2 linked regions of the Saccharomyces cerevisiae S288C genome follow. The protein of the gene in region 2 interacts with the protein of the main gene of each other region in a biochemical or structural test. Each region holds a gene or a part of one and is shown on either strand. Other genes may lie near its edges. The genes, in order: ATG1 and ATG4.

What was found.
Region 1: of the proteins of ATG4 (region 2) and ATG1, one has a biochemical effect on the other in vitro, tested with the Saccharomyces cerevisiae proteins (2 studies listed by BioGRID).

What each region holds. Positions count from the first base shown.
Region 1 is NC_001139.9:158,116-163,283, forward strand, and holds ATG1 (serine/threonine protein kinase ATG1), read left to right. Parts: upstream 1-1,949; coding exon 1,950-4,643; downstream 4,644-5,168. Other genes in the region: GTS1 (Gts1p), read left to right, coding at 1-981. UniProt on the Saccharomyces cerevisiae protein: Serine/threonine protein kinase involved in the cytoplasm to vacuole transport (Cvt) and found to be essential in autophagy, where it is required for the formation of autophagosomes.
Region 2 is NC_001146.8:225,469-229,405, reverse strand, and holds ATG4 (cysteine protease ATG4), read right to left. Parts: upstream 2,037-3,937; coding exon 552-2,036; downstream 1-551. Other genes in the region: SSU72 (RNA polymerase II subunit A C-terminal domain phosphatase), read right to left, coding at 1-312; SQS1 (Sqs1p), read left to right, coding at 2,307-3,937. UniProt on the Saccharomyces cerevisiae protein: Cysteine protease that plays a key role in cytoplasm to vacuole transport (Cvt) and autophagy by mediating both proteolytic activation and delipidation of ATG8.

The sequences.
Region 1 (5,168 bases), on a different chromosome or scaffold from region 2:
AACGTTAAATCACTATCAATGGATAGATGGACAAGAGAGGATATCGATGAATTAGTGAGTCTTGGAGGCAATAAGGGGAATGCTCGGTTCTGGAATCCTAAAAATGTCCCTTTTCCTTTTGATGGAGATGATGACAAAGCCATCGTGGAGCATTACATTAGAGACAAGTATATTTTGGGTAAATTCAGGTATGATGAAATAAAGCCTGAAGACTTTGGATCCAGAATGGATGATTTTGATGGGGAATCGGACAGGTTTGATGAAAGAAATAGAAGTAGGAGCAGGAGCAGATCTCATTCTTTCTATAAAGGGGGCCATAATAGGTCTGACTACGGCGGTTCCAGGGACTCATTCCAAAGCAGTGGAAGCAGATATTCTAGGCAACTGGCAGAACTCAAGGACATGGGTTTCGGTGATACAAACAAAAATTTAGATGCATTATCGTCCGCTCACGGAAATATCAATAGAGCAATCGATTATCTAGAAAAAAGTTCAAGTTCAAGAAATAGTGTATCGGCAGCAGCGACAACATCAACTCCGCCCCTGCCCAGGAGACGTGCGACAACAAGTGGCCCACAGCCAGCTATTTTTGATGGTACAAATGTAATCACGCCAGATTTTACTTCAAATTCAGCATCTTTTGTACAAGCAAAGCCAGCAGTTTTCGATGGTACCCTTCAACAGTATTACGATCCTGCTACCGGAATGATATATGTAGATCAGCAGCAATACGCCATGGCTATGCAACAGCAGCAACAGCAACAGCAACAGCTTGCTGTCGCACAGGCTCAGGCTCAGGCACAGGCACAGGCACAGGCTCAAGTTCAGGCTCAGGCTCAGGCTCAGGCCCAGGCTCAGGCTCAAGCACAGCAGATCCAGATGCAACAGCTTCAGATGCAGCAACAGCAACAGGCGCCATTATCTTTTCAGCAAATGTCGCAAGGAGGAAACCTGCCACAAGGTTATTTCTACACACAATAAAAATAAGATACATTGCCGCTGCTCCGCATTACATATCATATAGAGTGACACTAAGTAATTAAATGACACTAAGTAACGAAAGATATCTGTAAACAACGACTATATACCAGAATTAGTCATATTCTCTATTGTATTCACCCTACACAGCCGCATTACACAGCTGCTCCGGACGTTTTACGCTGCACATCAATGACTAATACCACTGTATTTGATCCACACTTAGCGCAAAAGTCACCTGGGTGGCGTTTTCCGCTCGCGCTCCGCCGGTGAGAGCGAGAAAAAAAAAAGGGATTGGGCGGTAATGTAAGGAAAACCCACTAGTTAAAATCAATGAGATAAGGAACTCTCTTTTTTTCCCGTTAATCATCTTTTCCTTGTTCGTTTCGTGTATCTGTAATGAATCTTATCGGAGTAACTATTACTGGAAAGCCATACCGTTAAAGAAGCAAGCATATCATTCGTATTCAAGCATCTGTTTTTCTTTTTAACCGCTCGGCTCTGATTTCTTAAACCATTTCCCCCATCAGCATCAGTTTGTGATTTGTAACTATATCGATCGTGGAATCGATGGAATTCTAAGCGTCATTTAGTTGGCAACAAAAGGAATCGAGCATCTCATAAAGGAGCTTATATTATTAATATCTTCCTGATCGTACTATTTTTTTTTAGCTTTTTATTTTTTAGGCCGAGGTTAATTCTAGAACGCCACATTTCATCACCTTTAAGTTAAGTACCAAGGCCATCTTTTACCCTTTTTAGTTTCTGGGGAAACAGAGAACAGTACTATAGAAGATAAAAAGATATAATACAATCGTAGTAATAGTACCCATAATAAAATAACATATAATATAATAAAAACATAAGGCAAAGGAGATAGGAGAATAATCATTGATATCTCCACAAAACGAATTTGAAGCTACCCCATATTTTCAAATCTCTTTTACAACACCAGACGAGAAATTAAGAAAATGGGAGACATTAAAAATAAAGATCACACAACCTCTGTGAACCATAATCTAATGGCAAGTGCAGGAAATTACACCGCTGAGAAAGAAATCGGAAAGGGTTCGTTTGCCACTGTATATAGAGGGCATCTGACATCCGACAAATCTCAGCATGTAGCCATAAAGGAAGTATCAAGGGCGAAATTAAAAAATAAGAAATTACTAGAGAATTTGGAAATAGAAATCGCTATCTTGAAGAAAATCAAGCATCCTCATATCGTCGGACTTATTGACTGTGAACGAACATCAACAGATTTTTATTTGATCATGGAGTACTGTGCTCTTGGGGACCTAACATTTCTGTTGAAAAGGCGTAAAGAATTGATGGAGAATCATCCTCTACTAAGGACCGTATTTGAAAAATACCCTCCACCGAGTGAGAACCATAACGGCCTGCATAGAGCGTTTGTCTTGAGTTATTTACAGCAGTTAGCGTCCGCTTTGAAATTTTTGAGGTCTAAAAACTTGGTTCATAGAGACATCAAGCCTCAAAACTTACTATTATCTACACCCCTAATTGGATATCATGATTCAAAAAGCTTCCATGAACTTGGATTTGTTGGGATCTACAACTTACCCATTTTAAAGATAGCAGATTTCGGGTTTGCAAGATTTTTGCCAAACACGTCATTAGCAGAAACTCTTTGTGGCTCACCATTATATATGGCACCAGAAATTTTGAATTATCAAAAATATAACGCTAAAGCAGATCTGTGGTCTGTCGGTACAGTGGTATTCGAAATGTGCTGTGGCACCCCACCGTTTAGAGCTTCCAATCATTTGGAGTTATTCAAGAAAATTAAAAGAGCAAACGATGTCATAACGTTTCCTTCATATTGCAATATTGAACCAGAGTTAAAAGAGTTGATATGTAGTTTATTGACATTTGATCCAGCCCAAAGAATAGGATTTGAGGAGTTTTTTGCTAACAAGGTAGTCAACGAAGACTTGTCTTCTTATGAATTGGAAGATGATTTACCTGAGTTAGAATCCAAATCAAAAGGTATTGTAGAAAGTAATATGTTCGTTTCTGAGTATTTATCTAAACAGCCAAAGAGTCCGAACAGTAATCTTGCAGGTCATCAATCAATGGCAGATAATCCCGCGGAGCTCAGTGATGCCCTCAAGAACAGCAATATATTAACTGCCCCAGCCGTTAAAACAGACCATACACAAGCCGTAGATAAAAAGGCTTCAAATAATAAATACCATAATAGCCTAGTTTCAGATAGAAGCTTTGAAAGAGAATATGTGGTGGTAGAGAAGAAATCGGTTGAAGTTAATTCATTGGCAGACGAGGTTGCTCAAGCAGGATTCAATCCAAATCCTATTAAGCACCCAACTTCAACTCAAAATCAGAACGTCTTATTGAATGAGCAATTCTCTCCAAACAATCAACAGTATTTTCAAAATCAAGGAGAAAATCCGAGGTTACTGAGGGCCACATCATCTTCCAGTGGAGGTAGTGATGGGTCTAGGCGACCATCTTTGGTGGATAGACGCTTGTCTATATCCTCGCTGAATCCATCTAATGCATTATCAAGAGCCCTCGGTATTGCATCAACGAGATTGTTTGGTGGTGCAAATCAACAGCAGCAACAGCAACAAATCACATCTTCCCCACCGTACAGTCAAACTTTGTTGAATTCCCAACTTTTTCATGAACTTACTGAGAATATAATATTAAGAATAGATCACCTACAGCATCCAGAGACACTGAAATTAGATAATACTAATATCGTTAGTATTTTGGAATCTCTGGCCGCAAAGGCATTTGTTGTTTACTCTTATGCAGAAGTGAAATTTTCTCAAATTGTTCCATTATCAACAACATTAAAAGGCATGGCTAACTTTGAGAACAGGCGCAGTATGGATAGTAATGCTATTGCAGAAGAACAAGACTCAGACGATGCAGAAGAAGAGGATGAAACGTTGAAAAAGTACAAGGAAGATTGCTTATCCACGAAAACTTTTGGAAAGGGTAGAACTTTATCTGCCACATCTCAGTTGAGTGCAACTTTCAATAAACTACCACGTTCGGAAATGATCCTTCTATGTAATGAGGCCATTGTCTTATATATGAAGGCATTATCCATTTTATCAAAATCTATGCAGGTAACGTCCAACTGGTGGTATGAATCTCAAGAAAAATCATGTTCTCTAAGAGTTAACGTGTTGGTACAGTGGCTAAGGGAAAAATTTAATGAATGTTTAGAAAAAGCTGATTTCCTGAGATTAAAAATTAACGACTTGAGATTCAAGCATGCTTCTGAGGTAGCTGAAAATCAAACTTTGGAAGAAAAAGGTAGTTCGGAAGAGCCAGTATATTTAGAAAAGCTATTATATGATCGTGCATTAGAAATATCTAAGATGGCCGCACATATGGAATTAAAAGGAGAAAATTTGTACAACTGTGAATTAGCTTATGCAACTTCACTTTGGATGTTAGAAACTTCTCTGGACGATGATGATTTTACGAATGCCTATGGTGACTACCCTTTTAAAACTAACATACATCTAAAAAGTAACGACGTTGAAGATAAAGAGAAGTATCATAGTGTGTTGGATGAAAATGACAGAATAATCATAAGAAAGTATATTGATAGTATTGCAAACAGGTTGAAAATATTGAGGCAGAAGATGAACCACCAAAATTAAGTGATGCATAATATGGTTTTCTTATTAAGTACAAATGACCTGCTATATTTTCAAGTATCTTCATGATTATGTTATGCTACTCTCGAAATGCTTTACGAGTTCGTCATTAAAGTATTCAAATTTTATTTTCCCTTTGTGTTTTGTTTTGTTTTTATTTCTACGTGATTTTTTTCTTGAAATCCAGCTCTTTTATACCTGGATGGGTTTTATTTTGATGTTTAAATGTTAATTAAGGAAATTATTGAATTCCTTCGGTTTCGGTGTGTTTTTTTCTTTTTAAGTTTTTTTTTGTTGCGTTTAGTACTTGCCTTTGGCTATACATATCCTTTTAATCTAATTTTTATTTCTTCAAAATTTGATTCTTTAACCTTTTGTTCTATATATATATATAAATGTATGTATGTATGATTTGATTGAGGAGGCTTTAACAAGTCATTAATATCTTTATTATTTTTACTTGTTGAGTTCATTAAAATTCATTTTATAATTTGTTGTTACAAACAGTATTTTACAAGTCATAATAAA
Region 2 (3,937 bases):
ACTTTCTTGCCATTTTTCAGGTGCTTTTTTGAGTCTTCTATTACGATCCAGCATTTGCAATAAACCGTTCGACTTGTAACGGTCTGCTGATTGTGATAAAAGATCATTATATATATCATTATAGGGTGTACCAAATGAGTACACATTAGGCTTATCTATCGATAGACCAGGCAGTCTCACAGCTGAACCTGTTCCGTAAGAGCTAACATTATAGCCTGCTTCTTGCAGGACTTTATGCGATTCCATTGAACGATTGTTGTTTGATGCACAAACTGTGCAAAACTTCAAGTTTGAATTGCGATGACTAGGCATTTTGGACTTCGACACTAGTTTATACCACCGTTGTCTTAATCTTCTTACAGGTGGTCTTTAATTCGTGCCGACTGGCCTTTTTCTTTATTATCTTTCGTTTTTTAAGTTCTTTCCACTGCCGCAGACGAAAAATACGTAAAGGATGATCAAACGAATAAGAACAAAAGAACTGGATACCTCAGTTTTAGGGAATATATTAAAACAAGTATATATGCTTATGAACTAGTGAATTCCTTACACTAGCATTTTTCATCAATAGGACTGTGAATACCTACCGTTTCCTTCTCTACAAGGACGCCTTCTACTTCATAATCTGTTAAATTCGCATTAACAGTGTGTGTGTTTCCCATAACAACAATCTTCTGTTTCTTGCAATGAATATCTTGAAAACAATCATATTCGTCTACATCTTCTGTATTTGTTGTGTGTGGGAATATTGCACCAATATCTACGTAGTCTCCCTCTAGTACTCCGAGATTTTCATTATTGCTTGCATCTTTCTTCATTGAGTTAGAACTTACACTTTCCACGTCATCCATACTACAACTCACATCAAAGTCATCCATTCTCTTAGCAAGAACATTGATAATAGCAGATTCTGCAACTTCTAGCTTCCATTGTTGCCAGTCTTTTTCGCCCTTAATCAAAATACCAATGAGCATCGAGGGATCCATTTCCGATAGTTGCAATTTACCAAATTTACTGGTATGGCACGACTCTACAAATGAATCTTCTACTGCCGGTTGAGGAATATGAGGATCGAAATGTAAAAATTCATTTCCTTGATAACCAAAAAAATACAACGATGAAGACGGCCTACCGCCGGCAATGCCTACTGACTGTGTTGAACTTAAGATACCACATATACTTTCTCTATAGCTCTCATTTACCGCATTAATCCCGAGCTTCACGCCCAACAAGAACAATATTCTACTATTTGGATTCTCAGCAAATACTTTTTCAACTTCATTTTCATAGATATCGCCGGATGAAACAGATACTATACAATCATCGATGCCACATTCGGGGAAGCCATATATTAAAGATTGTATACTCCTTGCCGTAGCTGCGGGACCAAACCATTCACCTGGTCTTTTATCAGAGAGTTCTGTACCTGCAGAAACAAAGTTATGTAACGAAAATGGAGCCTCAGGCGTGTCATTAAACCAATTTACAAATTTTGATTCTCTTTCCAGACTTTCGTTACCATTTACCCTGAAATCTCTGCCCAAATGAAGGATTTGTAAGGCATTCCCCAACAAACTTTGTCCTGTCCTTATCATACACCCCCACCCAATATCAGTGTTAAAGCAATCAGGATTTGCTATATAGTCCTCTATTGTACTGATCGGATTTGTACGTACTAATAAATTTAGACTTAAAGGTGAAGGCCCATCTGGCGCCCTTGCTATAGGAACAAATCTTGTCCGATATGTAAAGTTGACCCTTGATTGTACATCCAAAAGAAATTCCTTTGTGTAAGAAGAAATTTCCCTACCAAAAAGAGAGCTTAAAAACCCGTCACTAACCGCTTCACCGCGATATCGACAGTCTTGTTCACATTGTTCAGCGCCAGATTCTTCGTCTCGCTCAGGATATACTTCCCCTAATACTATATAATCATGATTCATAAGAGCAGCCGGTTCTTCGGACGAGCCTTCAAAAACGCCATGAGACACTTTTTGTACCAAATCCATTTTCCACAGTTGTAGCCACCTCTGCATGTATATCACTCCTATACGTGATAAGAAGTCGTCCATTCTTCATCTACTAACGTTATTGTGTGTATATTTTTACTTTTTTCCTTTGAGGCGCTATTGTTGGCAGCTGCAACGGTCACCGCCTAAAGAATAAAAGTGAAATTTGACATTTTACAATTAAATAAGATCTGAACAAAACAACAACAATTAGGCCTGCGCAGAGTTTCTAGAAGGAAGAAGTGATTTAATCGCAGAGTCAAATATAAGCATAAATTGTTGTAACCGTCAAAAAAAATGGCAAAAAGGCATAGTCATTATCAAGGAAGCAGACGTAGGCATGCACGTGGTAGCAATTCCAAGAAAGCTGGCAGGGGGAATGCTAAAGGCATACAAGGCAGAAAGATAAAGAAAAAACCTACTCCCACTAACAGTTGGCATAACTCTTCTATACCACTAGGAGAAGGTGATCTTGATGATGTAGGCGCCGACTTCAACCCAGGAAGAGCATTCATATCACCAAAAACTATAGAAGACTATTATTTTGGTCGCGATGCCAAGAGCCGTTCTATGAAAATGGGTGGTTTAAGACCAGGTAATCGATATGATTCTTCAACTGACCTACAAGCAGGAAGGGCAGCATTCCGCAAAAGACCTATGCAATTTGTAAAAGCTAAGGAAGTTTACGATCCATCCCACAATATGATTCAAAAACTGAGAGCAAAGAACGAAACAAAGAACAGTGAAGAAATTGTCGAAAGGGAAGCAGACGTTTTTGAAGAACCAGGAAAGATGACTTCTGATGTTGAATATATTAACAATGAAGACAGTGAAAACGAGGATGATGATAGTCAGAATTCACCCTCGACGGACCACTCGCTGTCTTCGAATGAAAGCAAAGTTGAAGATGGTGACCTGTTTTTTGTAGATGAAGAGGCTCAGCAATCGCCGGATCTAACCAAAATAAAAAGAGTATGTATCGAGGAAATCGCAAGGCCAAGAGAAGTTGCGATAGAGTTCGATCCTATCTTAACAATTGGAAAGGTTGAACTTAGCGTTTCCGAAGGTAACGAAAGCAAGGAAATTAGTGTTGACGTTCCAAATAAGGGTAATAAGACATATCATCCATTTGCTGGTTACATTTCCAACGTATTACATGGTATGCATACTAGCGACTCGGACAATGATGAACTAGACTACGAAATAGAAACAGAGAATAATAGTGAACCTTTATACGAATCCTCAGCAAGTTCTGAGGTTGATCAAGGGTTTAATTATGTTGGCCAACGTCACAATTCCCGAGCTGACAACAATCTTTTACCAAGCCCTAGTCCGCAGTTGACAGAAGATATAAAATGTCTTTCAATAAATGGTACCAAAACATTCGAAGGCAATAATGATAATCTGCCATCTCCTGCTAGCGAAGAGTTAGAATTTGGATTCAAAGAAGAAGATTTTGTCATAAATACTAATGACATAGTGGTCTCCAATATAAGAATGGGCGGAGTAGACAATTCATATTATCTACGGTGTTACAGATTACTGGGAGATTACGACTTTCATTGGATTGACCAGGACTTACTCACAGACTTCGTTGTAGACGAGTTAGGTCTTCCTGAAGATAGATTACCTGCATATTTGAATTTTATTAAAAATTCTCTTATACCAAAAATTGAACCAGCTGAGCCAACCTACTCAGATATTCCGATTTCTGATTCGAGTGATGAAGGTGACAGCTATGAAGGCGACAGCTATGAAGATGATGAAGATATGGCCTCCTCGGTTGTGCATAGCGACATTGAAGAGGGTCTGGACGACCTAATTGCATACACATTGAAACATGATACAGAAAGATTCAAAACATTTGAAACCAAGTCCTTGGAAACTAAGGGTAAAGGTAAGAAGAAGAAGCTACTCATCGATGACGC